Linked DNA regions of Pelodiscus sinensis. The protein of the gene in region 1 purifies or fractionates together with the protein of each later gene. This does not show direct contact. Links are inferred from orthologs where the notes say so. Each region holds a gene or a part of one and is shown in the gene's direction. Other genes may lie near its edges.

Region 1 (7,975 bases):
GGACAGAGAGCACGTAAGCAAGAGGAAGAATACACTGCTGGAAGAGATGTGCACGGAGCATGAGGAAAGGATACCCTGCAGGCAATGGGAAGTGAGGCACCAAGAGAGAATGCTGGCATTCATGGTGGATGTGATGGACCAGATTGTGGCACTCCAGGACTCCATCCTGGACTGGCACCTCCTCTGGCCCTTGTGGACCAATGTTCCCTCTTTCCCAAGTTCCATAGCCTCTTCTCCTCCGGGCCCAAGAGTTTGTGTGGGGGCAGGGAGTCAAGGGCAGCGTCTTATTCAGTCCCAGGGATGCATCACAAACCAAAAGGCTGCCCTTCCCAACCTGAAGCTCCCGCCCTGGTGTTTCTTTTTGTGCAAGGGGTTTTTGCACAAAAAGAATCAGTGTGGACTTTTTTTTGTGTGCAAAACCCCCGTTTTGCGCAAGATTCTTATGCCTGTCCCGGAGAGGAAAAATCTACATCAGAAAGAAAAAGCTTCGTTCTAGTCAGATGTAGATGAAAAGCCTGCCCCACAATTACCCAGTCACAGTTGGGGATTGAATTGAATCCCAAAGTGAGTAACAAACAGGATACAAAGGCCCTTATTCACAAAGGCAGATACAATTCTCTGCTCCTATGTCTTTCAGTTCCTTTCCACAAGCCACCACTATTCCCTCTGTTACTGAGCCTCAGAGAGCTTGCTCTCATCCATGCCCTGGAAACGTCTCTTGGATGAGACAGAAACACAAGCCTGGGTAGTATACACATAATGAATGAAGACACCACAACCTGTATTTCCTTGTTAAACCTCACACCAGCCTCAAATAGCTGGTAAACAAGAAGCCAATAGATGGGGAAATACAAATGTAAAAAGCACAGCACACAGAGTCAAAGGTAAAATTACTATTCAGAAAAACGTGTGAATTATGCTCATTTAAGAGCTGTATATGATACAGCTTTGAACAGTAACTATAGATCACAAGCATGTTCTTTCCCAGGGTATATAAATGAGAAGAAAAAAAATGTTATTTTCTTTGCAGCCATTGGCTGAGAAGTTGACCAATAGCAATCCCAAGTCAGTGCCTACACCCATCTGCATACTGTTTCATAAGAGGGAGGTGCATGCTTGTTTGTATGGAAAGAAATCTGGCAGGCGTTGATCTTTCGTTCCATGCATTACAATCATCTCTACTCAGTGATTTATCTTCAGGTTTGGAACTGAAAGCAGAGGGAGCAGATTTGCAGATTGCAAACAAGACATGGTCTAAAGAGGGATGGGACTATTTTAAAGGACTGTATATAACACAGATTGTCCCAAAAATTGCTTAATTAATGCTTAGTATTGAATAATGCTCTCTAACAAATTGATGAAGAGCAGCTGCTATGGATACATTTTAAGAGCCTGTTTTAAAATATTCACCACATATTATTAAAAGAATAATTTCCTACCATTGAATTACAACTGCCTGAAGATTTTAGCTGTCAGCTAAAATACAATTCTTACAATGGTAAATTAACTTTTAAAATAGTGTTTATAATTTCTCTCAGTAGATTTAATTCCACATTTTGAACTCAGAGTCACCTGGGTAAATCTGTAGTAACTCCATTGAAGTCAGGTTACTCCTGATTTACAAAGGCCTCACTTAAATCAGAATCTGGTCTATTGTATTTCATCTACATTAACTGATGCTGTAATTTAGCACAGCATTAATATATGCTGCTTTTACAGCAACAGACAAGGTTTAGAGAGAATTTCAACTTAAGACAGTTAAAACGCTACTAATGGAGTAAGTGTGGATAAGGTCCTAGATGGAGAGTTTTCTTTCCAGATCTGCCAGTGAACTGCTATGTGACTATTGTAAGTTACTGTGCCTGCATTTCCTCTTCTACTTTTTGTCTGTTTAGGTCAGTGGGACTATTTAGCTTAGGGTTAAGCATATTATTAACTGGATCAGAGATTTAGACTGTGAACAGGTAAGGGCAGGGACTGTCTTTCAGTATTTGTTTTTACAATGCCTAGTACAAACAGGGGCGGATGAGAGTGCCGCGGGGCCCAGAGCAGCACCGCGGGGCCCAGGGCAGCGAAATTTTGCGGGGCCCCTTCTTTGACACGGCGCATGCGCGGGGCCTCAGGAAGCGCGGGGCCCGGGACAGCCGCCCCGCCCTAAATCTGACGCTGAGTACAAAAGTGCACCAGTGTCAGTTGTTGCCCTACCTGCTATTGTAATACCAATAACAACAATCTTTGCTTTGAAATTTAACCCCTTGTTTTTCATCACTACACCACTTTGATATATTTCAAAGAGGAACGCTCCTGTCAGGAAAAATTCCAGGTTTTAGGATCCCATATTAAGTAGTTTCCGTAGAGGGGTTATTTTCTTTGTGTTATTTACCCATCGATTCAGTGAATGCTAGAACCATGGAAATAAGTTGTAAGAACAGAGAGTTTCATTATTCTAGAAGTATCAGAGGGGTAGCCATGATAGTCTGAATCTGCAAAAACAACGAGAAGTCCTGTGGCACCTTATAGACTAACATTTACTGGAGCATAAGCTTTCGTGGGCAAGGACCCACTTCGTCAGATGCATGTGGGTCTGATGAAGTGGGTCTTTGCCCACGAAAGCTTATGCTCCAATAAATCTGTTAGTCTATAAGATGCCACAGGACTCCTCGTTGTTTTTGATTATTCTAGAAGATTTACCAGCATGGATTCAATTCTGAATGCTGACAAGGGTGTGTATCTTCAGGAAACCACATAACATTCTGATGTATCTTGGCTATTGCTATGGCTGTTTAACTCTTGTTTTACAGGAAGACCATGGGAATGGATTCTATTAGAAGACTCTTTGCCTGAATTTCTGCCACTTGGAAACCAGAAGTAAATACATTTAGTAGCAAAGACTTATTGTTATGATGAAAGTGCTGATTCCATGGCTGATGCTAAGCCTATTTAGCTGTACATTTCAGGATTTGGAAGAGGGTCATCTGACATTCATGTCAGATTCAGAGCAGAGAGTAAAGCTGGCATTGCAAAAGAAGATGATACTTGTGGGTAACTCTGAAAAAGGAGAACAATTGCATTGTGATGACTTTGCATGTACACATATATGGCCAAGATCTTTATAGATAGAAACCTCTTTAAGGCTCTATTGTTTTAATCTATTGTCACGTGTGTCTTATGATGTTTTATTACTCTTCTCCAGAAATTTAACACAAAATGGGCTAGATTTAACTAGTGCACCTATATTTTCTTTGGTGTACTTACATCAGATCCTACCTTTAAACATAGTTACATAGGTCAGTTGGAAGTGTCGAAGCAAAAACACGCTTTTTTGTGTTTAGGCAGCTAACAAGCAGCTTTATTAATTAATAAAGCACAGCATGAGCCAAACGTGGTTACAGCAGAGCCAGACCCAGTAAAGCTGCTAATACAATTAATTTTAGTATTTTTATACCCTTAACCAAACAGTTTGACATTAGGGCATTTAATTACAGAAATTTTTAATTAAATTTGGAAAAACAAAGCCTTATTAATAAGATGGCGGACAGGTGCGAGGGAGTACATTTTTTGTTTCAACCAGCCCAATTAACACATACCAATAGTTTATTTTGTAGGCCTTTTTTTACGGGGTGACAGAAAGTTTACTTTGGTTTACGTGCTTGAGAGAAAAGCTGAAATGGTTTTTGATATATAAGATGGCTTTTAGCTAAATATGAAAATGGTTTTTACAGCTTTTACAGAAGTAACGGAGATCAAGTTACCACAGGGGTGTAGCTGTGGGTGGGCCTGAGTGAGCCATGGCCCACTCACTTACATGCAGACTCAACCCCAGCTCAGTATCTGCCAGCCCTGCCACCATGCTCTCCTGCCAGCAGCACTGTGCACTGCTACTTCAGTCTCTGGCCCCAGCACAAAACACAAGGGGAGGCGCATCAGGGCAGGTCTGAGTGAGGCTAGTGCTGAGGTTGAAAACTGGGGCAGCAGCATGTTGTTGGGGCTCCCCTCTGCCCCATGGCCTAGCTTTTAGCCACTGCACAAAGAACAATTTAATCTTCCACTGGTCTCCTCTCCAGCCTGATACAATTCCCGATGCACTCAACTTCAGAGCCTTACACTTAACCCTTCACTAGTCCGTTGGGGCCAGAAGTGGGAAAGAAAACTACTCTCCCAGGAACAAAAGACAGGACTATGTAGCACTTTAAAGACTAACAAGATGGTTTATTAGGTGATGAGCTTTCGTGGGCCAGACCCACTTCCTCAGATCAAATAGTGGAAGAAAATAGTCACAACCATATATACCAAAGGATACAATTTAAAAAAATGAACAAATATGAAAAGGACAAATCACATTTACCCTTCCCCACCTCTAATATCATTAACTCACAGACATTCACCTTCCTTCCCCCCCCCCCCACACATCCCTCTTCTGTTCTGAAATGTGATTTGTCCTTTTCATATGTTCATTTTTTTTAATTGTATCCTTTGGTATATATGGTTGTGACTATTTTCTTCCACTATTTGATCTGAGGAAGTGGGTCTGGCCCACGAAAGCTCATCATCTAATAAACCATCTTGTTAGTCTTTAAAGTGCTACATAGTCCTGCATTTTGTTTCAGCTAGAACAGACTAACACGGCTACATTTCTATCACTGCTCTCCCAGGGATAGGAATGCTGTCACTTCATTGCCATGCCATGAAACTAAACCTAATCCCGCTCTCCCCCCTCGCGCTCCCTTCCCTTCACAGCGGTTTCAATCCAACGAGACGTGGGAGGATCAGCAAGCCACTCACTGCCTCGAGAGCAAGGCTGGGTCCCGGGCCAGGGGAGCGGGAAGGAGGCTCGTTCGAGTTCTCAGATGCCATTGGCCCTTGCAGAGAAATGGGGGCGGATGCGTTCCTGCCCCATCCCTGGTCTATTGGCTAAGGGAGCTGCCAGCTTGACGGGGAGTCGGGTTTCCTCCTTTGCGGAGGCACTTGCAATAAAAGGTTCTAGAATTTCGCCCGGACGGCCGCGGCAGGGGGATCGCTCGCTCGCTCGCGCCGGGTGGCTGGCGGAGAACACGCCCGCTCCCTTGCGTGCGCTGGAACGAAAGGGCGAAACAGCCTTTCCCTTTAACGGGCTCTCACCCAGGTAAGAGCGGCGCTGAGCCTGCCCCTCCGCTGTGTCTCGGAGCCGCCTGGCTGCTGGCTCCGAGTTCTTCGTCCTGCCACACCACCCAGCCACGTCTGCACGGGCATGAGCTCTGCCGCTCTTGACCCGCATTTTTGTGTGCTTAAAAATCAGTCGGGATTCCCCCATTTTGTGGGGAAATGCACCTGGCTGCGGTGACTCCGCAGGCGCGCACAACGCTCCCTGCGGAACGGACGGCCCCGTTTTAATCCGGTGACACTTTCCCGGCTCTAGTCGCCTGTCCCCTCGGTGGCGTGTTGGAGGCACCGCGCCGCTGAGAGTTGCTCTTCAGGGAGGCGATCGCTTGGGAGTGACGGGCCGGTGGGCTCCTTATCTCGGTAGCTGCTGAGGCAAATGGCGCTGCCCTGCAGCACAGCAGGGCAGGAGCGATGGCGGATTCGGCGCAGGGTAGAGCCCTGCGGGTTTTAGACCGCGGCCCGGAGGGCTCCTTAGTCTCACAAACAACCCGGATAGTAATTGGGAGGGGGAATTGCAGGATGGGGGCGCGTTCCGCCTTCCCGCAGCAAGGCGCTGGCAGCTGGGCTGGGGGTGGGGCTGCTGCGTGTAGTGAGCGCGAGCCTTGCAGCTGCCAGTGCTTTCCTTAGAGCCTTGCCCTTGGGGCTTGTGCCTTTGCTACCCTTCCAGTGTAGGTCAGGTAACCAAAGCAGCCTCCCCTGCCCAGTGCGTGTCACAAGTCAGTACCCAGTTCCCGAGTCCCACCCACCGTGCTGTTTACTTGTGGGTTGCTTGCACTAGCAATCCCTTGCCACTCTCTGTGCTCCCAGTCAGAACAATTCAAGACTTGGAAAACCTTGGACGAGCCCTAGTATAAAATCAATTAATTGATGCTGAAATATAAGAATAATATTTGGTTTAGCCCCCAGCGAAGGGGTAACACGATTTAACGAGGACGCACTATTGAGTCAGCGGAAGCAGATTGTAAATTCTTGTTTCTAACCTAAGTAGTTTCTGTGCCTGCAGAAGTTGGCTCCTGCCATGGGTATCTGCTCTTAGATTAGTCATTTACCAAAAAGTGATTGCTGAGTGCACTACTTGAGAAAAGCATGGTGCAAAATGGGTTTTGATAAGGGCAGCAAAAGGAGAGAAATTTTGAATTTTTAGAAAGTTTTTGGCTTTTCTAGACTGGTATTAACAGGGGAAAGGGAAATGAAACCTACTTTCCTCTCATTTGTTTCCTTCCTTGAAGACAAGCATGCTGCATGCTAGGAAGAAGAGTTATTTTTATTACTGTAATTCTCATAGCTTTCCAATTTTATGTAAACACTAAGGATATGTCTACATTGTGCTCTTGCACAAGAACATATGCAAATGAGGTGCAGCGATGAATATTGCCATGTGTTATTTGCATACTTAATGAGGCTTTTGTGCAAGAAGAAGCAGTCTACACTGCTCTTCCAGAAGAGAGCATCTACACTGGCGTCTGCTTTTGCACAAGAGCGTCCATGCCAGTGTAGAGGCTCTCTTGTGCAAGAAAGCTCTGATGGCTGTTTTAACCGTAGGGCTTTCTTGAGCAAGAAATTCATGTTGCCTGTCTACACTTGCCTCTTGCACAAGAACAGTTGCGCAAAAGGGCTTCTTCCTGAGTGGGAACATCATAGTTCTTGTGCAAGAAGCCCTGATTTTATACAGTAGAACGTCAGTTTACTTGCGCAAGAACACATGGCCAGTGTAGACAGGCAGCAAGTTTTTGCGCAAGAGCAGCCGCTTTGGTGCAAGATCGTGCCAGTGTAGACACAGCCATACGTTTTAGAGTCTGTCTATGTAGATATTGCCTCTCTGGTAATCCCTGTTCTCGTGGCATAATTTCCCTCTTGATTTATGCAACATAATATCTCTTTTATGCAGGTTTTCTCTGAGTTCAGAACCATAAAAGGATTTAGAATAGTGATAGAAATGTAGCCGTGATAGTCTGGTGTAGCTGAAACAAAATACAGGACTATGTAGCACTTTAAAGACTAACAAGATGGTTTATTAGATGATGAGCTTTCGTGGGCCAGACCCACTTCCTCAGATCAAATAGTGGAAGAAAATAGTCACAACCATATATACCAAAGGATACAATTAAAAAAAATGAACACACATGAAAAGGACAAATCACATTTCAGAACAGAAGGCGAATGCGGAGGGGGGGGGGGAAGAAAGGTGAATGTCTGTGAGTTAATGATATTAGAGGTGGGGAAGGGTAGATGTCTGTGAGTTAATGGTATTAGAGGTGATAATTGGGGAAGCTATCTTTGTAATGGGTAAGGTAGTTGGGGTCTTTGTTCAGCCCCCTGCGGAGAGTAACAGTTTCTTGCCATTTCAACCAGAAAGGACACTGTCTCAATGACCTACTCACCTGCATCCTACTTCAGAAGACATTCAAATCTGCACTTGAAAGGGAATCCTCTGAACTGGCATTCATGCTAAAATTCGACACTCTGCAGGGGGCTGAACAAAGACCCCAACTACCTTACCCATTACAAAGATAGCTTCCCCAATTATCACCTCTAATACCATTAACTCACTCTCCTCAGCAGCCTCTGTCCGCAGGGAGCACGGACACCTCCCGGACAGGGACTGCTGCCACCCTGTGATGCTGCCTCTGTATCAGTTACCCGATATCTAACATCCTTAATCAGGTTTAGAAGAGCAAGCATCTCAGAAGGACTTGAGTTTCAATAACATAAATCAACACTTGGAACTCTGGAAAACAAACTCTGGTACAGTAGTAATCCACTTCTAGATATCGGGTAACTGAATAGTTGAGTAACCCCATGAATTCTTATCCATTACTTGAATATTCTATAGTCC
Region 2 (7,472 bases), on another chromosome or scaffold:
AGCGGAAGACGGCGTCGGCGGCTCGCTGGGCAGCGGCGATGCACCTCTGCAGCTGTGGGGAGCAGGGAGACGGCGTGAAGGGGCCCCCAGCGGGCCTGGAGCGCCACGCAGCCACGACGCAGCCACGAGCGTGTACACACGAAGTGACAGCCACGCACTACCCAGCAGCGTGCGCAGTCACAAGGGTGCCCTGGGAAGCCACGTGCTCGCACGGCAAGGCCTGCGTGCACCATCACAACACGCACTAGCGCACTGCCCATGCCCGGGGGGAGTCTCTGGGGCGCAGCTGGGCCGGGGGCCGAGGCCTCGCGTAGCAGGCTCCAGTCTGGCGCCTCTGGCGCTTGGAAAGCCGGGAGCAAAGGCAGAGGGACCCCTGCTCGGCCGGTCCAAGCCCCGCAGCGGGGGGTCCGAGCTGAGCCCCGCCCCGCCCCGCAGTCAACCCCCACAGCGGGGCACAGGCTGGCAAGCAGAGAGCCTCATTGGGATTCCAGGCAGGCAGGCGAGACGTCTCCTGACAAACCCGCTTGCCTGGGGCACTCAACACCAAACACATCATGCCCCTCGCGGCTCGGCCACGCGCCGGGAGCCCGCCGGCAGGAAGGGGTGGGGGCTGGAATACCAACCCCCTCTCCCTGCTGCCTCGGGGAGACACCAGGGCTGCCCGCCTAGCCCCCCCCGCCCAACCCACACCCGGCCCGATGGGCACCCCATGTCCCGGTCTCCAGCAGCCGCAGCCTCCTGGCCTGCCCCACTCCCCAGGCCCCCACTCACCTCCTCTACTGAGCAAGTCCCCTTGGTAGTGGACATGAGCACCCGCCTCTCCACGCTGCTGATGGCGAAGGTCAGCAGGGCTCGCGCCTCCTGCAGGGGGAGGGCAGAGTGAGCTGTCTGCCCACGCTGCTGGGGGCGGGTCCACCAGGCCAGGCCATTCCTGTGACCCTGGGCCACCAGGTCCCTCAGCTCCGGTCCCTGCCTGCTGCCCTCCCACCCACTGCGCACCGCACAGAGAGCCCCACCGGCCCAAAGCCCTCAAGTCTTCCCTCAGGGCTTTGCTATCAGACCCTGGCCCAATGCTGGAGACAACTGCCCTTGGGCTGTTAGCCAGGCAGCTGGCTCGCACCAATATCCAGCGGCAGGGAGTTCCACAGGTTGCACGAAATGAGATTAACTCAACTTTACTACATCAGCTCCCAGTGTTGCCACCCCGCACTGGGCCTACGTTTCCCCTATTTCTGACTCGCTGTCACCTGCTGCACTAACCACTAGATCCCGCTGCGGCTCAACTCGAGCCCCGCACAGTGCCAGGTGCGGCACAGACCCCCTCCCCCCCGCCATCAGGCCCCCGTTATGCTGCAGGTTGCCATTAGTCCCACAGGACCCTGCAGCGCCAACCCGGCCTGGCCACCTCACACCCACTTTCTCCTGCTTGGCCGTAGGGTCGAGGCTGAGGGCTCCATCAGCATCCAGGGCGCATGTGACCCCGCAGAAGAGCGACTTCATGGGCAGGCCGGCATCCATCAGCCCCATGCAGGCCGCGTTCAGGCAGCAGGCCAGCAGCTGGCACCAGGTCAAGGGAAAGGCTGGCAGCCGCCGAGACAATCACCACCGACCCCCAGAGGCAGGACTCAGGCCTCAGAACCACCTGAGACCATGGCCCGTCGGGCCGGGCGCCCCCCAGGCCCCGGCCGAGATCAGGGCCCGTCGGGCCGGGCGCCCCCAGCCGAGACCAGGGCCGGGCGCCCACAGACCCCGACCGAGACCAGGGCCCGTCGGGCCGGGCGCCCCCCAGGCCCTAGCCGAGATCAGAGCACTGGGCTCTGTAGGGTCTGGAGGATGGGCAGGGGGCTAGGGGCTGACTTGGAAAGGAGAGTGGGGGCTAGTGGTTTCTGTCCCTGGCTCTGGCACAGACTAGTGTGACCCTGAGTAAGCCCCCCCCCGCGCGCAGAAACCCCCCCCCCCCCACGAGGATATTGCTGGTGGAAAGGCCACGCCAGGCCCCAGGAGGCGCAGGGCCGCATGCCCTTCCTGCCAGCGCTAATCCCTCCCCGGGGACTTGGCTGAGTGAAGAGAGAGCTGCCCCGGGCAGGCCAAATTAAGTCATCACTCCTGCCTCCATCAGTCTGAGCCAGCCGCCTCCGCCAGCCGCTAATCCCTGCGCCCGGCTACCCCCCCGAGACTCTGTCACTTAGCACCCACATCACGCACCACAACTCAATGCCTCCAGTGCCGGAACGGCTGCTGCACCCACTCCACAGCCCTGCCCAGCCCCGCTTCATGCCAGTTCCTCCGTGCTCGCCCACAACGGGCTGGGCTGCGGGTGAGAGCGAGGGGGAGGGCAGGGACTGCGGGTTGAGAGTGAGGGGAACTGGCAGGCCTGGGCTGGCAGGGGCTGCAGGTGGGGAGCAAGGGGCACCGGCTGGGCTGGGGGCACCTGGGGCTCCCATTCCCTCTTCCCAGTGCCCTGCTTCCCAGGGTCTGCCAGGAAGCCCCATCTGGGCACGGGCCAGAGAGCAAACCCACCCCTAGCAGCCACTGCCACAGCGCGGCCACCACTAGGGGTACCACGGGTTGTTCCATTGGGCGCAGCTGCAGCGAGCGGTGCAGGGGCCTGGACAGCCACAGAGCCGAGCCCTTAGGAACAGGGCCCGCAGGACGCACGCTCGCTCCCTGTCCCACACTGAGCAAGGCAGCCGGGCCTCCCCCAGCTGCCAGGGAGCACCCCCTGCGGACGCCCCTCCCTTCCCTGCGGCAGCCTGGGAGGTCCCCGCTGCCCCCTTAGGCTGCGAACGGCAGCAGCTCTGTCCTTCCTGCCCCTGCCCGCCACCCCCAGCCTGCCAGGGAGGGGCAGACGCACGCTGAGCTGCCTGGCCTAGGAGGCTGGGATCAGCCAGGGAGCAGGCTGTCCAGCAACTCCAGCCTGGGCGGGACCCCGGGGTCAGGGACGGCGAGCCAAAGCCCCTGGGTGTGCAGGGCGGCAGCTCCCACCCAATGGGGGGGGGATGGAAGAGCAAGCGGGCAAAGCGCCCCCCGGCACACGCCGGGCAGCGCCCCCTGCTGCCTGGGAAGGATACAGAGCCGGCGTCACTGACCACCTGCAGCACGATGGTAACGGAGGTTCGGGGGTGCAGGGTGCCCAGGATAACGGCCTCACACGTCCTCCTGATCAGTTGCTCCCGGCTCTTCTCAAAGACGCCTGGGGAAGGACAGGGGGGCGGGCTGACAGCGAGCCGGACCCGCCCCCCGCAGCCACCTGTGCACTGCCCCTGAAACCCAGCCCGCGACCCCGGCATACCAGGCACTGCCCCCACGCCCGTCCATGCAGACCAGGCCCCTCGTCCCCACAACCGACCCGCCCACCCAAGGTCAGCAGACCCTGAACGCGCCAGACAGACAGACGGACCTGCCCCCGGCTTGGGACAGAACCGCTCAGCGAGCTGCAGGCTGCTTTGTCAGTCCCGCTGCACGGCCGTCCTACAAGCTCCTATTATTGTAGGGTGCCCTGTAAACATGCAGCTGCCAGAACCAGGGACTTGGTTTTAAAGCCCCCCCCCCCAGCCCCGCGGCCGCTGCTTACCCGGGAGCCCCACTTTGGGTTTGAGCAGCACTTCCAGCGTGGCCTGGTCGTACAGCTCCCTGCTGCCCTTCACCTCCGCCGGGCCGTACAGACCGGCCAGCACCGACGTGTCTCCTGGGGGGGGGGGGCGGGTCAGACTCGGCCCCGCTCCCCGCGTCGGGGCGGGACTGGAAACCCGGAGGGGCCCGGGGGGGGGGGGGCCGACCTACGGGTGGGGGGGGCCCCGAGGCGAGGAGCCGGAGAACAGGGAGCCGGGGGGGGGGGGGGGGGGGAGCAGCTCCGGGCCGCAGGCAGGTGGGGGCGGTTTAGAGGGGGCCGGAAGTGAGGGTCCATGAGCAGAAGCGGGGGCCAGAAGCAGGGGTCCCCGGCCGGAAGTGGGGGGGGCCGGGCAAGAAGCGGGGGGTCCCCGAGCGGAAGCGGGGGGCCGGGCAAGAAGGGGGGCCGGAAGTGGGGGTCCCGGGCCGGAAGCGGGGGGGGCGGGCAAGAAGGGGGGCCGGAAGTGGGGGTCCCGGGCCGGAAGCGGGGGGGGCGGGCAAGAAGGGGGGCCGGAAGTGGGGGTCCCGGGCCGGAAGCGGGGGGGGCCGTAAGTGGGGGTCCCCGGCCGGAAGCGGGGTCCCGGCTCACCCTGCAGGAAGGCGGCGGAGCCGTCGGGGCGGCCGAGCGGGCCCAGCTCGCAGGAGAAGGGGCGCAGGGCGCAGCCCCCCGGCTCGGAGCCCATCGCGACTGCGGGCACCGCCCCCTCTGCACGCGGAACGCGGCCCCACCTACCGACCCCACTTCCGCTTCCGGGGCGGGCGGGGAGCCCCGTTTCCATAGCGACGGGCGCGCTACGGGGAGGGGGGTTGCCAGGGTGACGCGCAGACGGACGGCGCGGGGAGGCGGGATCACGGTTGCCATGGCGAGGGGGGCGGGGCTCCAGGCGGCCCCGCCTTCGCAGCAAGATGGCGGCGGGCTGGGGGCTGCGGCGGGGCCTGGGGCGGCTGCTGCGGGGGGCCCGGGGCCTGGGCGCCGCCGTGAGTGCGGGGGGGGGGGGGTGAGCGTCGGTGCTGCCCGCGGGGGGGCTCCGCGCCCCGTGCCTCAGTTTCCCCGCGGGGCGGGGCTCGGGGTCCCTGCCCCCCCCCCCCCCCGGGCCGGGATCCCCCAGCAGAGGCCGGTTTGGGCGGGGGCGCAGGAAAGGCCCCCCCCCCCCTACTCCCCCCCCCCCCCGCGCGGGCCCGGCCTTGAGCCGCCGCCGCAAGGACGCGGCGCCCGCCCCGGCCCCACGCGCCGATCACGCGCCGGCCCCGCGGGGGGGGCAGCCTCTTGCTGGCTGCACGGGGAAGAGGAAAGGGGGGCGCTGGTGCCCCCCCCTCTGTACCCCATCTCCGCAGAGGGGCAGGGTGGGGAGGGGCGCCCTGGGTCGCGGTGCCCAGCTGGAGGCTGCGTTCGGAACCCTCCTGCTCCCCAAATCTGCCCCCAGAGGGAGGGGTGAGCAGGGGCGGGAAGGGGGCGGGGCCGGGGTGGATCCTGGATTGCACTTCAGTTCCCACAGGGATCTCCCCCGTAAATCGGCTGGTGACCCCCCGGCTTTGAGTCCCCCCCCCCCCCGGCTCTCTTCGCTCGCAGGGCACCTTGGCCATACGCTCGCGGGGCCTCAGGCTGGGTGTCCCGCGGCGCAGACACGTGGGGGGAGAAGTGTCGGAGGCAGTGCCCCCCCCATCTCACCTGGTCCCTGTTGCCCCCCAGCACGCACGCCGGCAGCAGCAGGAGTTCACCTCCCTGGAGGAGAAGCCGCAGTTCCCTGGCGCCTCGGCCGACTTTGTGGACAAGCTGGATTTTATCCAGCCCAACGTGATCTCGGGGATCCCCATCTACCGGGTCATGGACCGGCAGGGGCAGATCATCAACCCGGATGCTGATCCCCAGGTGGGAGCGAGGTGCTGCAGGGAGCCAGCCCTGGTCTCCCCGTCTCCTGCAGGCGGTTCCTGCCGTCCCCCTGGGGCACCTCGTCTGTCCCCTCCCACCCACACACACCCCATCTTCCCAGCCCCCCGCTTCTGTCCTGCCACCTGGTCTGACCCAGCCTGGCCGCTCTGATGCTCCTTGCAGCCTCTCTCCCATTGGCTGCTTTCAGCCCCTTTCCTGACGGGGGCGGGGGCACACCGGGCTGCCTGGCTGGCGAGGGCATGGGACCCGAGCGCCACTCGGCTGCTTGGGCTTTTCTCGGCCCCGAGTCACCCTGAGATCAGAGCCCTGGGGGGCAGCGCCACCACCCGGCCCCTCCTGCGCTGACCTGCGGCTCCTCGCCCCTCCTGCCCCAGCTCTCCCAGGAGCAGGTGCTGAAGTTCTACAAGACCATGACGCTGCTCAACACGATGGACCGGATCCTCTACGAGTCGCAGAGGCAGGTGCGGCTGCTGGGGGGCAGCACGGGGCGGGCAGGGGAGGCCGGGAGGGGCTTTGGGGCTGGTTCCTGGGCACCCTGCGATTTGCTTCCGTGGTGTTGGATTTTAGGGTGATTAGCTCACCACAGGGGTAATTTCCCACAGTACAGGGCTGAGCACCAGGACTCCAGATTGTCTCCCAGCTTGGGGAGGGCAGTGGGGGCTAGTGGTTAGAGCAGAGGGGGGCTGGGCACCAGGACTCTGGGTTGTCTGCCAGTTTGGGGAGGGCAGTGGGGGCTCGTGGTTAGAGCAGAGGGGAGATGGGCACCAGGACTCTGGGTTGTTTCCCCGCTTGGAGAGGGCAGTGGGGGATAGTGGTTAGAGCGGGGTGGAGGGGGCAGGCGGGCACCAGGACTCTGGGGTTCTCTCCCAGCTCTGGGGGGAGGAAGGGGGAGGGGTCTGTGACTAGCTAAAATCACAGCAGTCCCCTTGGGGTTGTCCCGTGCTGCACTGACCGTGCCACTAAACTGGCCTTCCCGCCCACTGACGCCTTGTTGAAATGGAGCCGCGCTTCGTCCACCTCCCTCCCCGACAGGAATGAGGCATGGCCAGGCGGGGGTTGCACATTCAAACTGTAACTGTAAAATCAGCAGCTTACACGGCCTCTTTTGCATCAAGCATCTACGAATTCTGCACATTCATAGTCAAAAGCCAGTTCTCACACCGCATGGGAGGGTGGTGCGGAGTCTAGTGGTTAATGCCGGACCCCTGAGTTGTTCCCAGCTCTGGGAGGGGAGTGGTGTCTAGTGGTTAGAGCAGAGTTGATTCCTGGGTTCTGTTCCTGTCTGCTCCTCTGTGCATGTCCTCAAGACACAGACCTGGCCCATGCCTCAGTTTCCCCACAGTGGTGAGGATACTGGTCCAGTCCCCAGTTAATTCTTTGTTCCTTTTCCAGGGCAGGATCTCCTTCTACATGACCAACTACGGGGAGGAAGGGACTCACGTGGGCAGTGCCGCAGCGCTCGACGACACGGACCTGGTGTTCGGGCAGTACCGGGAAGCAGGTGCTGGCTGATTGCGGGGGGTGACCCCCACGGCCACCTCGCCCGCACGTCCATGCAGTGCTCACTGGGGGCAGCGCACACGCGCCCGAGCTGTCCCTCCAGGGAAGGCTGGGCTAAAGCCAAGCCACTTCTCAGCCCCTTCTGCCGTGGGACGTGCCTCTGAGTCCCAGGCCCCCGCGGGAGAGCCAACCCCGCGCCCATGGGGGCTCGCTGGATGCCCCGGGGCCTCCCCGTAACCCGGCTGCGGTTCTGTGCCCCAGGCGTGCTGATGTATCGGGGCTACCCCCTGGACCTGTTCATGGCCCAGTGCTACGGCAACGCCAGCGACACCGGCAAAGGGCGCCAGATGCCCGTGCACTACGGCTGCCGAGACCGGCACTTCGTCACCATCTCGTCCCCGCTGGCCACGCAGATCCCACAAGGTGAGGCCCCCGGCGCCCCTCCCCTGGCCAAGGGCGGGGCCAGTGCACC
Region 3 (7,176 bases), on another chromosome or scaffold:
GTCTTAATTCTCAGGTGTACTTTTGTATGGCTCAACTATTTTAATAGTCAAATTATAGGCTTAAACCAAGGGTAATCTGCGTGATTCACATTGAATTTTCCTCCATCTTCTTTTGGGCTATGTCTACATTGGCATGATCTTGAGCAAATACTCTTTAATGCAAGAGTTCTAGCGTTAAAGTATTTGCGCAAGAGAGCGTCGACACTGGCATGTGCCTTTGCGCAAGAGATGTGCTTTTGCGCAAGAGCATCCGTGCCAGTGTAGATGCTCTCTTGCGCAAGAAAGCTCCGATGGCTATTTTAACCATCGGGCTTTCTTGCACAAGAAATTCATGTTGCCTGTCTACACTGGCCTCTTGCACAAGAACAGTTGCACAAGAGGGCTTATTCCTGAGTGGGAACATCATAATTCTTGTGCAAGAAGCACTGATTTCACACATTAGAACGGCAAGATCGTGCCAATGTAGACACAACCTCACTGTTTATGGAATTTTCAACCCCTACTGCAAAACTACTTGACGCTGACAACTTTATAATTTTGCTCATCAATGCATATATTATGTTTCATTAAAACTTGTTTTCTTAATTTTTCAACTCTTAATGCTCAGCTGTTAGTAGTCATGATGCAATCTTGTACAATCTCTTCACATAAATAACTTGTCATAATGAACCTTTCCCCCCATTTTAAAAAAACCTACTGTTAACTTTTATTATTTTTATCTGATGCTCTATAAACTATATATTTATTTTAAAGTAAATTCCACTTTTTATTCATTCACTGCCTGTATCCCACACTAGCATAGTCAGATCAGTAACCACACTTGGTTTACTTTTAGTGCTCCATTTTTACAGTGCCCTCTTTTTATTGTTTTATAACTTTTAAACTCATGCCAACATTATCAAAAGTAACATCCTAACTTTCTGGTTTTACTCAGACTATTAATAGAAAAAATATTATTTGTATTGTGGTGGAGCCCTGCTGTGTGTTTAGTCTATGTGTAGACCTGGTAAGACAGTCCCCAACCCAAAGACTTTACAATGTAACCTGATTTAGGAAACCACTTAAGCCTGTACTGATGTTTCATTTAACTCAATGAGATATAAGTATGTGTTTAAATGTTCACCTGAACTGGAGTTTAAGATCAGAGTTAACTGTGTTTAATGACACTCGAGAAAATCCAGAATAATGTTATTGGACTTGGCACTGTTTGTAATGAAAGCAGAATCCAGCCTCTAATTACATTTTTCTTTACTTCTCTTTAGTGTGAAAATACACTTATTGTAAAGAGGGGGCTTTGGACACTGAAAGATTATATGTAAGCTAGTAGTACTGGAACTCTTATGACTTGAAGAAGTTTTCATATAACTACCTAGTGGCGTTGCTTTAAAAAAAATCAGGAATCTTTTCAGAGTTTTTCCTTTCTCTCTGGGTTTTTTTCCCCTTTTCAATATAGGATAGAACTGCTGATCAAGATGAGGAAAAAAGGAGGATTGAAGAGGTTCCAAGAAGAAGCTTAATCAGCTACCGTGAATTAAAACCATCAAACTGTTCTTTGTTGCTTTTCACCCTTCTATATTTTTATGGTGTTTGTCTCCTAAATTGTGGAGGGAGTCAGAGGAAGCTAGCTAATTCACATAAAGAAATAACTGCTTGCTGGATTTTTTTTCAATGTATTTGAAAATCTAGGAAATTAGGTGAGATGCTTTATTAATCAGGTTGGCTACTTCAGTAAAGTTGCAAAGTCAAACACTCAAAAATTAGGAACTACCATATTAAGGATACTTGGAAACTTTAATTTCCCAACTGTTTGCAAGGTATTAGTACTCAATTCTCTGATCACCTACTATATTTTCATAAGGACACTCAATCGTGCCAGTCCCAGGATCTATCCCTCCAGGTTCTTTATCCAAAGCCAAGACCCACTTTCCTCCTCCAGGCTCCTTCTATTAATCCCAGTTTCCCTCTTTAGAATCCTCATCCCAATCTCTCCCTCACAGGCTTCTTCTCCAGCTGGTCCTTATCTTCCTACTCATTTCCATGGTTTCTCATCCATCCTGTGCACCCAAATCTCAAGCTCAATGTTGCAATCTGTTTCCTTTATCACTGCCTACTGCACTGCATCTGGCATTTCTCTCAGCATTTGAGTCAGGCTTCTTCCTGTTCTATGTTTCCTGAGAGCTAACTGGTAGAGCACTGAGAAAACAGAGGAGTGGGACTTCCAGCTTTCAGTTCTGGTGCCACAGCAGCAATTACAGTGAGAAATCCCACCAACTCTAAACAGCCCCCTATGGTGTAGGCATGTGCATAAGAGTTTTTCAAAGAAAAGATGGTCAGGCTCTTTTTTAAACATAGTGAAAAATACATTGTTTTGCAATCCTTTTGGAAGCAGCAGAGTTTTTGCTGGAATTTTCTAAATAAATAATTCAGCCTGAGTACAAGCTCAAATGGTTTGTTTCTTATGGCCTTGTCAGTCTTTAAACAGAGCTTTATAATGGGGAAGGTCAGGCAACCTTAACTTAGCTAGTAATGTTGCATATAAAAACCAAGAGTATATGGTGAGATTTTTGTTCCATTAAAAGATTTAAATTTCAGTTCCCTCATTACCAGCAAATGCTGGATAGAATCATAGAATTGGAAGGGACCTCAAGAAGACATTGAGATCAGACCCCTGCCCTCATGGCAGGACTGAGCACAGAGTGGCCCAGCTGGTCGTGAGCATATGCTCAGCGCTGTGCACATGTGCTGGGCGCTGTGGGCGGAGTGGCCCAGCTGGCAGTGAGCAATTGCTGCGGCGCAGTGCCCAGAGCGGCCAGACAGCTCTGATCGCACTCAGCCACGTGCTCCGAGTGTCCAGTGTGCCGCACTTTATTCTTTTATAAAATGTAGTGGAGGGCCACAAAAAACTTCTATCGGGCCGCATGCGGCCCTCCAGATGCCTGTTTGACATGCCTGATCTAGATGGTGCTTTGGTCCTGCCATGAGGGTAGGGGACTGGACTTGATGGCCTCTTGAGGTCCCTTCTAGTTCTAATATTCTATGATTCTATATATTCATGAATGTTGCATTTGAGTAATGTTCCTTTAATGGGGTGCTAGTAATAATTTTCTGTGCCTTCTTTACTCTGACAACTAAATTATCAAAAAACTTAAGTAACAAATCTGCGCCTTAGAGACTATCAAAATTTGTAGATGTTATCACGAGCTTTCATGGGCACAACCCATTTCTTCAGATGAGTTATCTTTTGTATTTTAGTAATCTTCCTTGTTCTAAATTTGGTACTACTTATGGTTAGGGACAAAAGACGGGGATCATATGGCTAAGCACTGTGAGGATCATCCGACCATTCTCCCAGTGCAGTAAAGTTTAGTCTTACAATTAGGAGTGAACCTCAACCAAGACTCTGGAGATGAGTAACTCTACAGCCTGAGGGTATTTAACATTCATTTCCAGCTAGGACTTCTGCATAGGGCTCCCATATTTATAATGGCATCAGAAAAATTCTGGAATCTGTTGTTGCACTCAAGGTAGACTAAAGTCCAAATACCGCAGACTGAAACTCCACTTACTGAAGGATCCACGCTCCTGCAATCAATCTAGTAAAGATCCCTCAATTGAACACTGGGTGCCTCTGTTAACGTTTTTAATCCTGTCTCAACTTGCAAGGAGTTAGGGAAGCTGATGGGAGAGTTTCTTCCATCCATCTCCCGCTGTGGAACCACTCTGGAAAAATCGATGCACGGTACCTGGACTCCAACTATGCAAGCTGGAGTTACCTATCTTGCATGGATTTTTCCACATCCCTTTTCTACGCATTCCCCAGCTGGCCTCCCGCCGGCCCGCCCCAACCTCGCCTGCCTGAGGCCGGCCCCGCCTGGGCGCACGCTCTGCCTCTAAATCAGGGCTACTCAACACGCGACCCGTGTGTTCGCGGTGCAGTTGAACAGCCCAGCTCTAAGCCAAGGCAGTCTAGCCCCGCCCACTCACAGCTTCGCTCCTCCCGCTTCCCTCTTTCCCCACCCCGCCGAGTCTAGGCTCGCCCGCCTTCCTTGTACGCGTGCGCAATAGAGACTCCTCTCCCACGCCCACAGCATCGCGGCTTCTGATTGGTCCGTTCTCCGTCGCCCTGCGGGCCAATAGCAAATCCCTACTCACACCCCGCCTCGTTACAACGTGCTGTTGCTGTCACACCTGCTTCCTGAGTCGTGACCCGCGGGGAGATGGCGGCGACCGGGCTGTGGCTGCGTCGGGCGGCGGGACTCGCCTCTGGGTCGGGGCCGCTGCGGGCCGGCGTGTGGGGCCGGCTGCTCCCTTTGGCGCCCGGGCCGCGGCGGCACGTGGCGCATTTCACGTTCCAGCCGGACGCCGAGCCCAGCGCGCACGGTGAGAGCGGGGCTCAGCCTGGCGCCCTGCCTCGGAGAGCGGCCGGCGGGGGGCATCGGGCGCCCGGCGCAGCGCTTGCTGCTCTGCGGCCGCTTGTCCGAGGAGTCGTAGCGGGGAGCCGCGCCCCTGCCCACCCGCTGCACCGCCGGCGCGGGGAGGCGGATCCCGCTGGGGTCGGGCGCTGAGTTCCCCGCGGGTGCCCCCTGCCCGAAGCAGCCGATTGGTGCGGGAACTGCCTTTTGGGGTGGGGGAGGAGAGGGCTGAGCGTTCCCCCCCCCCCCACCCTCCTTTCCTGCTGCCGGGCTGCTTCCGAGCCTCGTTGTTTTGTTGTGACAGACCGGCACGAGTTTGTGGCGCTGGAAGAGTCACTCGCTCACCTGAACTGACCTAGAGTTGAAAGCAGGTGGCATGATTTGGTGTTGGGCCACCAGGATCCGGAATGAGTCACAAGGTAGAAGGGTTAACCGCTTCATTGCTACTTTTGAGTTAAAACTTGTTTTCTCTGTGTCAGACAGTGTAGAAGTGTGACACAATTGCATTTTAACTTCAGAAGCCAACACTGATCAACAGAAGGGGAAAACAATAATTTAAAAGGCATAGAGACTTTTTTTTTTTGTTGAACAGCTTAATGTGAGACTTCAGTGCAGTTAGCTACCTTATCTCTTATTGGTTCTGCTATAAACAAGTCTTGGCAGAATTTTTTTCTTTTTTGTATTCCTGATTCTTAATTTTTTTTGCCAAGTCTTATTTTGATAGTTATTGGATGTTAGGGGTTGGTGTTGGGGTTGCAGCTGGGGCAGTGCTGACTGAAGGGCTGTAAGGCGCTTGTTGTAAGGCTGAAGTGCCGGAGACACCTGAAGGACAGGAGCAGGATTCTTGTGCAGTGGAGCAGAAACCTCCAGAAAGGGCTGTAAGGAGGAAGATGAGCCCATGGCTCTGTGGGGGTCTTTGCTGAACAGCCCTTATCCAGGGATGGCCCCTGTACACTAGGGATGTAAAAATTCCTTTAAAAAGGTAACTGTGTAACCACTAAAAATCTTAATGGTTACATGTTGTAGGCTCTGCTGTATAAAGCTTAAATACATTTTATACTGCAGAACCCACACCAAAGCTTCCTACCTGAGAGAGTAAGGGCTGATGGCCCTGCTCCTGAGGAGCTAAAGTGTAACTTGTGGCAGGAGGGCCAGGCTGGGCCTATCTGCAGGGGGACCTGTGGAGCTGCCTCGGTATAGTTTTCAGTATCTGCAGGTATGCTGAAAATGAATACTATGGATTTAGCTCAGTGTCTTGGCGTAGTATTTCTAATGAGTTCCCATACTTTTAATGTTCAGCTGTCCTGGCATGTACCCATTTTCTGTAGAATAAGCCCTTCTTCCATATGAATTTCTTTGCTGCTCTGAAAAGGGGTCATTTGGTTGGTTACCTTGGTTTTAGCTCTTTCTGCCCTCAGCCTTCCTTGCAGTCAATAAGAGAGAAGGACACTTAGGATACAGGCAGTCCCCGAGTTACGCGGATCCGACTTACGTCAGATCCGCAGTTAAGAACGGGGTTTGCTCTGCGTCCCCCTGGTCTGCTGGAAACCAGCAGACCAGGGAGATGGGAAGCAAAGCCTCGGAGGACGCCGGCAGCGGGACAGCCCAGACGTGCCGCAGCTGTCCCGCTGCCGGCGTCCTCCGAGGCTTTGCTCCCCATCATGCTGGTCTGCTGGAGACCAGCAGACCAGGGAGACGGGGAGCAAAACCGCGGAGCACGTGTGCAGCAGGACAGCCGTGGCGCGTCTGGGCTGTCCCGCTGCCCCCGTGCTCCGCGGCTTTTCTCCAGACGCCTGTAGTACAGCAGCTGGGGTGCTGCCGGTTGGTCCCGTAGCGCCGCTCTGGGTGCTACGGGACCAACCCGGCAGTGCCCCAGGTGTCCTCATTCAGCCACTGCTGGTCAGTTTCAGCAGTGGCTGAATCAGGACGCCTGGGGCAGAGCAGCTTGGGTGCTCCTGGGTTGGTCCAGTAGCGCCGAGGAGCAGCGCTACTGGAGCAACCCAGCAGCACCCAAGCTGCTCTGCCCCAGGCGTCCCCAAGTCAGCCGCTGCTGAAACTCACCAGCACTGACTACAGGAAGCCCGAGGCAGAGTTGCTCTGCCCCGGGCTTCCTGGAATCAGTAGCTGATCAGTTTCAGCAGCAGCTGACTTGGGGACGCCTGGGGTTCTTAAGTTGAATCTGTATGTAAGAACTGGCGTCCAGATTCAGCCTGATGAAACTGATCAGCGGCTGATTCCAGGAAGCCCGGGGCAGAGCAACTCTGCCTCAGGCTTCCTGTAGTCAGCTGCTGATCAGTTTCAGCAGCGGCTGAATCTGGATGCCAGTTCCGACTTACATACAGATTCAACTTAAGAACAAACCTACAGTCCCTATCTTGTACGTAACCCGGGGACTGCCTGTACAGCAAAATCAGGATCTAGGTCAATCTATGAATAAATAAACCTCAGGTTGATATGTAGGAGGATCTAATGGAAGGGCCACTGTGAGGAAGCCTTTTATTGTGTGAAACAATTCATTAGATGGATAGAAAACTTTTGATTTGTTTTTAAATCACACCAGACATGCAGTATGAATTTGTTTTCGTAGGAGATGGTAAGTGTGAACTGTGATACTGATGTTGATGCTGCCATTGCACAATAGATTTAAAAACAAAATTTCTACTGCTTTCTCTTCAGCTATATTCAGAGCTCAGATACAAAAGGTGCAATTTAGTTCCCTTTTTGAAGGAGTTAAATGGAACCTTTTAGGTACTGCAAGTAGTAA
Region 4 (7,246 bases), on another chromosome or scaffold:
TTATGTTCTTCTAATATAGTGTTACTGTCAGGGTACCTGACAGGAAAGGGAATCAAGCAGCTAGACCCAAGTGGAGGGTCATGGGGACAGATGCTCTCCTGGGTGATGCAAATTCAAATACTCTTTCCATGACAAAATACTGGTGATGTAAAGTATATATTTGAGGCTAATACATTTACATGAAGTACAACAGTAAGCAGGTTAGGTCTTTACAGAGTTTCAGGAGTTCAGTCCAGTATCCTTTCCTGACACAAAGCCCTTATCTGCTTCGATCTTTTGCTAAAAATCTCTTAATATTGCAGGAGCAATCGTGTAGTTCTAGTGAAAAGGAAGGAATACGAGTATAATCTGGCTAGAGCCTGATGGTGTTTTCAGTATTGGGCCCTGGAAACCTCAATATAGGTAGTGTTAGGTAATGTGGTACAGGTTGGACCTCCCTGGTCTCGCACCCCTGGGACATGAGCTGTCCCAGATGAAGGAGTTTGCTGGACCAGGAGATGTCAGTGCTCCCTTGCTGGCTTCCCCACTCCTGAGCTCTTCTCCTGGGGGCTCCCTGCCCTGCCACTGGCCCCCCTAACACTAGCCCGGCACGGCTCCCCACTCAGCTGCCCACCTGCTGCTCCAGGGTCTCCCGTGGTTCCTGGTGGAGACCACTTGGATGTTGCTGGCCCTGCTGCCGCAGGGTGTTCCCTGGAGGTTCCCTAGCCAGGGCGCCTGGCTGCCCGACCCAGCTGCTAGGGTTAGCCCCATTGCCGCTGGGGATTCCAGCCACCTGCCTCCACCAGGCCCACTTTAGGCCCAGGCACCCTAGCCCCACTGCCACCAGGGATTTGCCAGAACTCCTGGCCAGCGCTGAATGACCACAGGCAGCTCTGCTGCAGACACAGGTTTCCCAGCTGGGGCTGGGAATCCCTGTTCACCTGGGCCTGCTAATGTTGGGGATTCCCCAGCTGGGCCAGGAGTTCCCTGGCTGCTGTCTGGCCCGGCTAACACCAGGATCCCAGCCAGGGCAAGGGCTCCCCAAATACTGCTTGTCCCCCCCCACCTCGATGCTGCCTGGCCCACCCAGGGCTTCCCAGCCCCTGCGTTGCTCCTGCTTCCTCTGGGGCTCTTTGGTTCAGCAGCATCTATGGCGCTGCCGGACCACGGATGTTGCCAGACCAGAGAGTCCCAGATTTGAGAATTTTAATTTATAGTAAAAATGCTCATGCCCTGCCTAAGTTTAGCACAGCCAGCACTGCTATCTGAGCTGGAATTACATTAGTGTCACAATAACACAGAAGGCATCTGAGCCAATGCCAGGTGTGCTAGAGAGCAGAGCTGCCTTAGAGGCGAGCGGGAGGTTGCCAGGGGCTGTCATTTTCAAGGGGCTGCTGACAGAGCTGATCTTAGGGGCGGGCTACTAAATCGTCCCTGATCCCCCTTTTTTTTGCTTGACAAATTTTAGTCCAGTATTTTTTTAAGCCATCTGGCATCCCTACAAGAAGTGTCCTGAGGCTGCCCATTGGTTAGGACCAGCTCTACCAGAAAGGGATGTTTTCCTGCCACCCCTCAGAGCTTTACGCACAGTTTTTCCCAAACACGTTTCAAGGAGACATCTCTCAGTTCTGGGTCACTGGGGGAAGCTTACCTGAGGCCAGGCTGGCTCCTCCCAGCTCGGATCCTCCGCACACGCAAGGGAAGCCCCAGCAGGCAGCTCAAGGCCGTGGAGACTCGCAAGATCTGGCCACCCTGTGAACAGGAGGCAGGTGGTCAGCGGCCCCACGGAGCACAGGGCAGGGATGGCTGGGCCAGGGCTCTTCCTCCATCCCCCTCCTCTACAAGGCCCCCAAGCCAAGCTAACAATCCCCATCTCCCTTCCCAGCAGGGGTCCAAATCCAGCCCCTTCTCCTCCACCCGCCAGCCAGGGATCCAGGCCAGCGTCCCCCCAGCACACACTGAATCTCCTCAGGGAGCCAGCTAAGGCCGGAGCCCAGCCCGGCATTCATGCTCCCTCGCCGGGCCGGGCCCGCCCCGAGGTGCCCAGCGCGGATGCTTCATCAGGAAGGCCGGGCCGGGCTTGGACTCACCCCCTCCATGACCCCGCCATCTATCTCCACCCTGTCTCCGTCCATGGGCGACAGGGAGCCGCGGCGCCTCCACGGAAAGGCGCGGCCCAGGCGACGGGGAGTTGGCTGGGCTCTGCACAGAGCGAGGCCGCGGCGGAACAGTCTCGCTAGGCCGGAGCTGGAGCTGGAGCCGGTAACACGTGGCTGGGGAGAGTCAAGACGCAGCAGCCGGCCCCGGAGGTAGCGGCGGACTAGGCTGACGCCAGCGCTGAAACGCCACTGGCTGGCTGACAGCTGCAGCGCCGGGCCCCCTCGCCCCTGCGGCTTTGCAGCTCGGAGAACGGATTGACCCGGCCCGACTCTCCCTCGCGTCCAGCCCGCTCCAGTCCCTCCCGCGAGAGAAGCTGGGGGAGGGGGGGAGGAATAGCGCCCAGATCTTGGCTCCTCTCCTGCGACACGCAAAGCTCCCTCTCACGCTGGCACCTCTGACCGTCAGTGGGAACTGAGATCACTTCCCTTTGTTTACATTTCCGCGTTAGCAGCACATTTCACCTGTGCTTCCTTACTGACCCTTCCATCCTCCTGCAAAACCTATTCCTAGAGGCGCGGAGAAGAGCAGCAGAGAATATATCATCGGCCATATTCTAACAGCTTTTAAGCAGCTATGTGCTTTACTGTCTGAAAGCAGGCTTATGTTTCATGAGAATGTTTGTTTCTGCTGCAGGGGAACTCTGTAGCAGAACTTTAATGGACTGTAAGGAGTTTTTACATTCTGGGAGTCGAGACCACAGAGGAGGAATTGAATTCTAAAATGTAGCTTGCGTGCCACTAATGAGAGTAAGCGTCTAGATAACAACGTACTTGCTTACAATATTAAAAAAGAGAATGCTTGATTTCCAGTGCTGCAGATCTTTAATTGTAGACACTGCAGGACTTCAAGGAGCATTTTCTTTTACAATAAAGTAATCATTAAACAGTTGGTGTGGACTGGTAATGTCCAAACATTATTATAATAGCTGCACAGAAGATGAGTGCAATATGTCAACATAAACAAAACAAAAAAGGGGCATAAAATAAAGGGATATATTTCTTACAGATTTTATCCCAGTGAATTATGTTTGGGGTTGTGTATGTTTTTTAAATGTATAGTTATATTAGTATAATCTGCAGCTTGAATGCAGTTATACTGGAGTAAAAGTGCATCTACTGGTATGGCTTATTCTCCTTCCTCTACAGGAATAAACTATGTAGTCATAAACACATTTACACCAATAACTGCATCCACATTAGGAACCTAAATGTGGACAATTCCTTACTGTGTAGATACAGACAGTTTTGATAGCATGTGTGTATTTTCAGTTACTGTGAAAGCTGAAAGATTTAGCCCTGTGCAGATACAAATTTTGTTTCTGCATCCAATCTATGATCTGCAAAAGTGATCCTCAGATATCTGCAGATTTGTAAGGCTCTGTTCTGAGAATATTGAGTTAAGTAAAAATATGAATAAAATGTCACAAAGTTAGAACTAAAATGAAGAGTGAGACATGCAAACTTTATTTGATAATCTTTTAATGTTCATTATTAAATTTAAAAGGAAAATTCCATTTTACAGTCATATTTCAGTCTGACTGAATTTTTATATCTGTAGGTTAAGTCATTAAAACCCGTATAACTGACAAATCAAAGAAAACCCATCATTCCTCCTTCCCCCAAGTTCGTTAACTGTGTGCATGGACAGCATCCTTACAGGTGTTTCAATCAGTGCAATCATCACTGATGAAGACTGAGGGCTGTAATGCATTTCATCCCCCGGCCTGTCGTTTGTGTCTTTGCTATATAGGAATAGGAAAGAATCATTTCCGACACCAAGGAAGGCGGGGCCACCTTTGGTGGTGGTACGAGCATACGCATGGAGACTCTGGCACAGGTGAACCTTAGTAAAGCTTCGTGAATTCACGTGGGTAAGACGGGATCGCTTTGAAGCTGCCGATGGTGCCTTCCTCCGCCCCCTGTTTTGCAGTGCCAGTCTCCCGGGACTCCCGGCCCCTGCACTATAACCTTTGGGGAACGCCCTAGTCACAAAGCTCCGCGCGCCCAAACAAAGTGGTACCCCAAGACCTTGTCACTCCGTGCATCAACCGACTGGCTCCTTTAATGAGGGGGGCGTGGGCTAGTCCTCTACCCTCTGATTGGCTGTTGTCTGACGCTGTCCTCTGATTGGTTGACAGGTGGGAGGTGTGGGGGGCGTGAGGGGCTCCCTCTCTTTCCCGATTAAGATGGCGACTGTGAGGGCGCTGAGGAGCTGCTCGCGGACTGCGGGGCGCCTGGTAAGGGGGCGGAGTGCCTTGTCAGGGGCAGGCAGCGCGTGCACCTCCGCCTTCTCGGGTGTGTGGGCCCGTCGGGGAGGTGCTGCCCCGGGTGGGGGAGCGACCCTGGTAGAGAGACCCTGCAGATCTCTGCCTCAGTTCCCCTCTCTGCGGAGCGCCAGTGCGGGCGCGTCCCCAGCCCAGAGCCCCTGCCACAGATACCTCAGTGCAGACCTGCCCTGTCCTAACACGGCAGAGTGCCTCGCCTAGACGCCCTAGTGCCCTGTCCCAGACCCTTCCGTGCAGACCTGTCCAGGGTTGCCAGATGGTTTCAACAAAAATACCAGACACACTTGACATTACATCACAATCCACGTTGCATCTTATTTAGAAAATACCAGACATTTATATTGTCTCAATTTGTTTCCTGAACAGAAAGCTCAAATACTGGACTGCCTGGTTCAAAATCAAACATCTGGCAACCCTAGACCTGTCCTCAACATCCCAGATTCCTAGTCACTTCAGTGCAAACCGATCCCCGACACCCAGACTCCCGTCCCAGACAGACACCCGTGGGGGACCCATCCCTGTGCCATAGCCTACGTCACAGACTCCCCTGTGCTGACCTGTCTCTTGCCATAGCTCTTGTCCCAGACACCTCATTGCTGCCCCCATGCCAGAGCCCTCCACCATAGGCATCCTCATGTGGACTCCACCTCACCTCATAACCTCTCAGCCCAGATACCCCAGTATAAGTATTCCCTTACCATTTCATATCCCTTCAATAAACAAACACCACTACAAGGAAATTCATGCTTCAAATATACGTTCTCATAAGCCAGCTAGCTTTACCCTTTTTGGATAACCCTTGCATTCTTCCGTCTCGTTGCATTAGTTTACCCCATGCAGATGTCAATTATCTTCCTGTACTAATACATTCCTGTATCTTAGGTATGTCCAAGCCACACCAAGGCACACTTACTCTATATCTCTTTAATATGGTCCCTATGTCTGCATTACAACCACATTGAGTTTGTAGCTCCAGATCTAGAACAAGGAGCCTTTTGTTCAAGGTGTTTAAGCATCCTGCTTTTAATAAACATTGTAATCTCATCAATTAAAAATGTTTTTGCAAAATGATGCTCCGTATTTGTAGTTGTCTATATTATAACTTTTATTGAAGCATGTTGATGTGGGATGATATGGTTGCTGTTGTGTGAAACTTCACAAAAATGAAAGTATGATATTTTCCAGGTGAAAATCCATTTAAAATGAATATCCTGTTTTGTGAGAGAAGTGCATATTATTTTTGTCCCAACAGTGTCTCATCAGCTATATAGTTATATCCACTATAAACAATTATATCCACTTCCATCAAGTCACAGAGTTACCACTTTTTCCCTCATTTGGGATTCATTTAATGTGTTGTAATGAAGGATTTTTGTGATCATTCTCAATAGACTGTTTTGCAATCACCCATTTTTTAGACAATATTCAACACGCTTTAATTGTCAAAGCATTTTGAACACTGCAACTTTTTGTTTCTGCATGTTGTCGTATTAGTTGAACTAATCGGGTTACCTGCTTTTCATATTGGAGGAAAACTGTTTAGATAAGAGGCTCTTTTATCCATTTGCATTGGATTGACATGACTAGATAGAAGGCAAGAGGTGATCTCTTTCAACTTGTTCCCAGAACTTTAATTCAGGTTTGTACAGATCAACATCTTGAATTGTACCTTCCCAACTACCAGCCAGTGCAAAGATAGGAGCAAATGTGCTTTTCCATCTATCCCACATAGGAAGAGAGAAGTTGCATTCTCTGCTAATTGAACCTTTTATATGGTCTTAAATGATAGCTCTGAGTACATAATGGTAACAAAGCCTTAAGGGAATATGTCATCAGACTATACTGCTAGTTTCACAGTAGCAGCTGGACAGCTACAGGCAGTCCCCGGGTTACGTACAAGATAGGGACTAGGTTTGTTCTTAAGTTGAATCTGTATGTAAGTCAGAACTGGCCTCCAGATTCAGACACTGCTGAAACTGACCGCCAGTTCTGACTTACATACAGAATCAACTTAAGAACCCCAGGCGTCCCCAAGTCAGCTGCTGCTGAAACTGATCAGCAGCTGATTCCAGGAAGCCCGGGGCAGAGCAACTCTGCCTCGGGCTTCCTGTAGTCAGCGCTGGTCAGTTTCAGCAGAAGCTGACTTGGGGACGCCTGGGGCAGAGCAGCTGGGGTGCTACTGGACCAACCCAGCAGCACCCCATCTGCTCTGCCCCAGACGTCCTGATTCAGCCGCTGCTGAAACTGACCAGCAGCGGCTGAATCAGGACCTGGGGCAGAGCAGCTGGGGTGCTGCCGGGTTGGTCCAGTAGTGCCCACGGGCGCTGCAGGACCAATCGGCAGCGCCCCAGCTGCTCTGCCCCAGAGTCCAAAACAAAAGCCTTGTCTGCTGGGGGGGGGGGGAGCACACTAGCTGCGCCCCCCCCCCCCCCCAGCAGACCAGGGACACGGGGAGCAGAGCCACAGTGGCAGCAGGGTGCCGCGCCTCTGAGGCTTTGCTCTGGCAAAGCCTCAGAGGCGCGGGACCCCCCGCGGCTGCGGCTTCAGTCCGGGTGCCTGTGGTCTGCTGGGGACCGTCCCCAGCAGACCACAGGCACCAGGTCTCAAGGGGCAGCAGCAGTGGTTCCCGCGCTTCTGAGGCTTTGCTCTGGCAAAGCCTCAGAAGCGCGGGAACCCGCCCGGTGCCCATGGTCTGCTGGAGACGGTCTCCAGCAGACCAGGGGCACCGGAGCAGCTTACGAACGGGGCTTTCTCGCCCCGACTTCCGGGGCGAGAAAGCTCCGTTCGTAAGTGCGGATCCGACGTATGTCGGATCCGCGTAAG

Evidence for each region.
Region 2: the proteins of PPM1K (region 1) and BCKDHA purify together in Homo sapiens (affinity purification with mass spectrometry; 4 studies listed by BioGRID and IntAct, counting the BioPlex papers as one, with this or other methods). This does not show direct contact. The link is inferred for Pelodiscus sinensis from reciprocal best matches to the Homo sapiens genes PPM1K and BCKDHA.
Region 3: the proteins of PPM1K (region 1) and BCKDHB purify together in Homo sapiens (affinity purification with mass spectrometry; 3 studies listed by BioGRID and IntAct, counting the BioPlex papers as one, with this or other methods). This does not show direct contact. The link is inferred for Pelodiscus sinensis from reciprocal best matches to the Homo sapiens genes PPM1K and BCKDHB.
Region 4: the proteins of PPM1K (region 1) and DBT purify together in Homo sapiens (affinity purification with mass spectrometry; 4 studies listed by BioGRID and IntAct, counting the BioPlex papers as one, with this or other methods). This does not show direct contact. The link is inferred for Pelodiscus sinensis from reciprocal best matches to the Homo sapiens genes PPM1K and DBT.

Annotation. Positions count from the first base shown.
Region 1 is NC_134715.1:15,139,512-15,147,486, reverse strand, and holds the start of PPM1K (protein phosphatase Mn(2+)-dependent 1K), read left to right. Parts: upstream 1-4,959; 5' UTR 4,960-5,122; intron 5,123-7,975. UniProt on the Homo sapiens protein: Serine/threonine-protein phosphatase component of macronutrients metabolism.
Region 2 is NW_027465992.1:100,924-108,395, forward strand, and holds the start of BCKDHA (2-oxoisovalerate dehydrogenase subunit alpha, mitochondrial), read left to right. Parts: upstream 1-4,433; 5' UTR 4,434-4,515; coding exon 4,516-4,587; intron 4,588-5,299; coding exon 5,300-5,479; intron 5,480-5,874; coding exon 5,875-5,961; intron 5,962-6,892; coding exon 6,893-7,001; intron 7,002-7,261; coding exon 7,262-7,423; intron 7,424-7,472. Other genes in the region: EXOSC5 (exosome complex component RRP46), read right to left, coding at 1-52, 772-861, 1,417-1,557, 3,072-3,193, 3,575-3,688, 4,199-4,388. UniProt on the Homo sapiens protein: Together with BCKDHB forms the heterotetrameric E1 subunit of the mitochondrial branched-chain alpha-ketoacid dehydrogenase (BCKD) complex.
Region 3 is NC_134713.1:58,163,975-58,171,150, forward strand, and holds the start of BCKDHB (2-oxoisovalerate dehydrogenase subunit beta, mitochondrial), read left to right. Parts: upstream 1-4,158; 5' UTR 4,159-4,217; coding exon 4,218-4,380; intron 4,381-4,716; exon of another isoform or gene 4,717-4,788; coding exon of another isoform or gene 4,789-4,831; intron 4,832-7,176. UniProt on the Homo sapiens protein: Together with BCKDHA forms the heterotetrameric E1 subunit of the mitochondrial branched-chain alpha-ketoacid dehydrogenase (BCKD) complex.
Region 4 is NC_134719.1:39,208,267-39,215,512, reverse strand, and holds the start of DBT (lipoamide acyltransferase component of branched-chain alpha-keto acid dehydrogenase complex, mitochondrial), read left to right. Parts: upstream 1-4,232; 5' UTR 4,233-4,324; coding exon 4,325-4,375; intron 4,376-7,246. Other genes in the region: RTCA (RNA 3'-terminal phosphate cyclase), read right to left, coding at 1,631-1,731, 2,070-2,114. UniProt on the Homo sapiens protein: The branched-chain alpha-keto dehydrogenase complex catalyzes the overall conversion of alpha-keto acids to acyl-CoA and CO(2).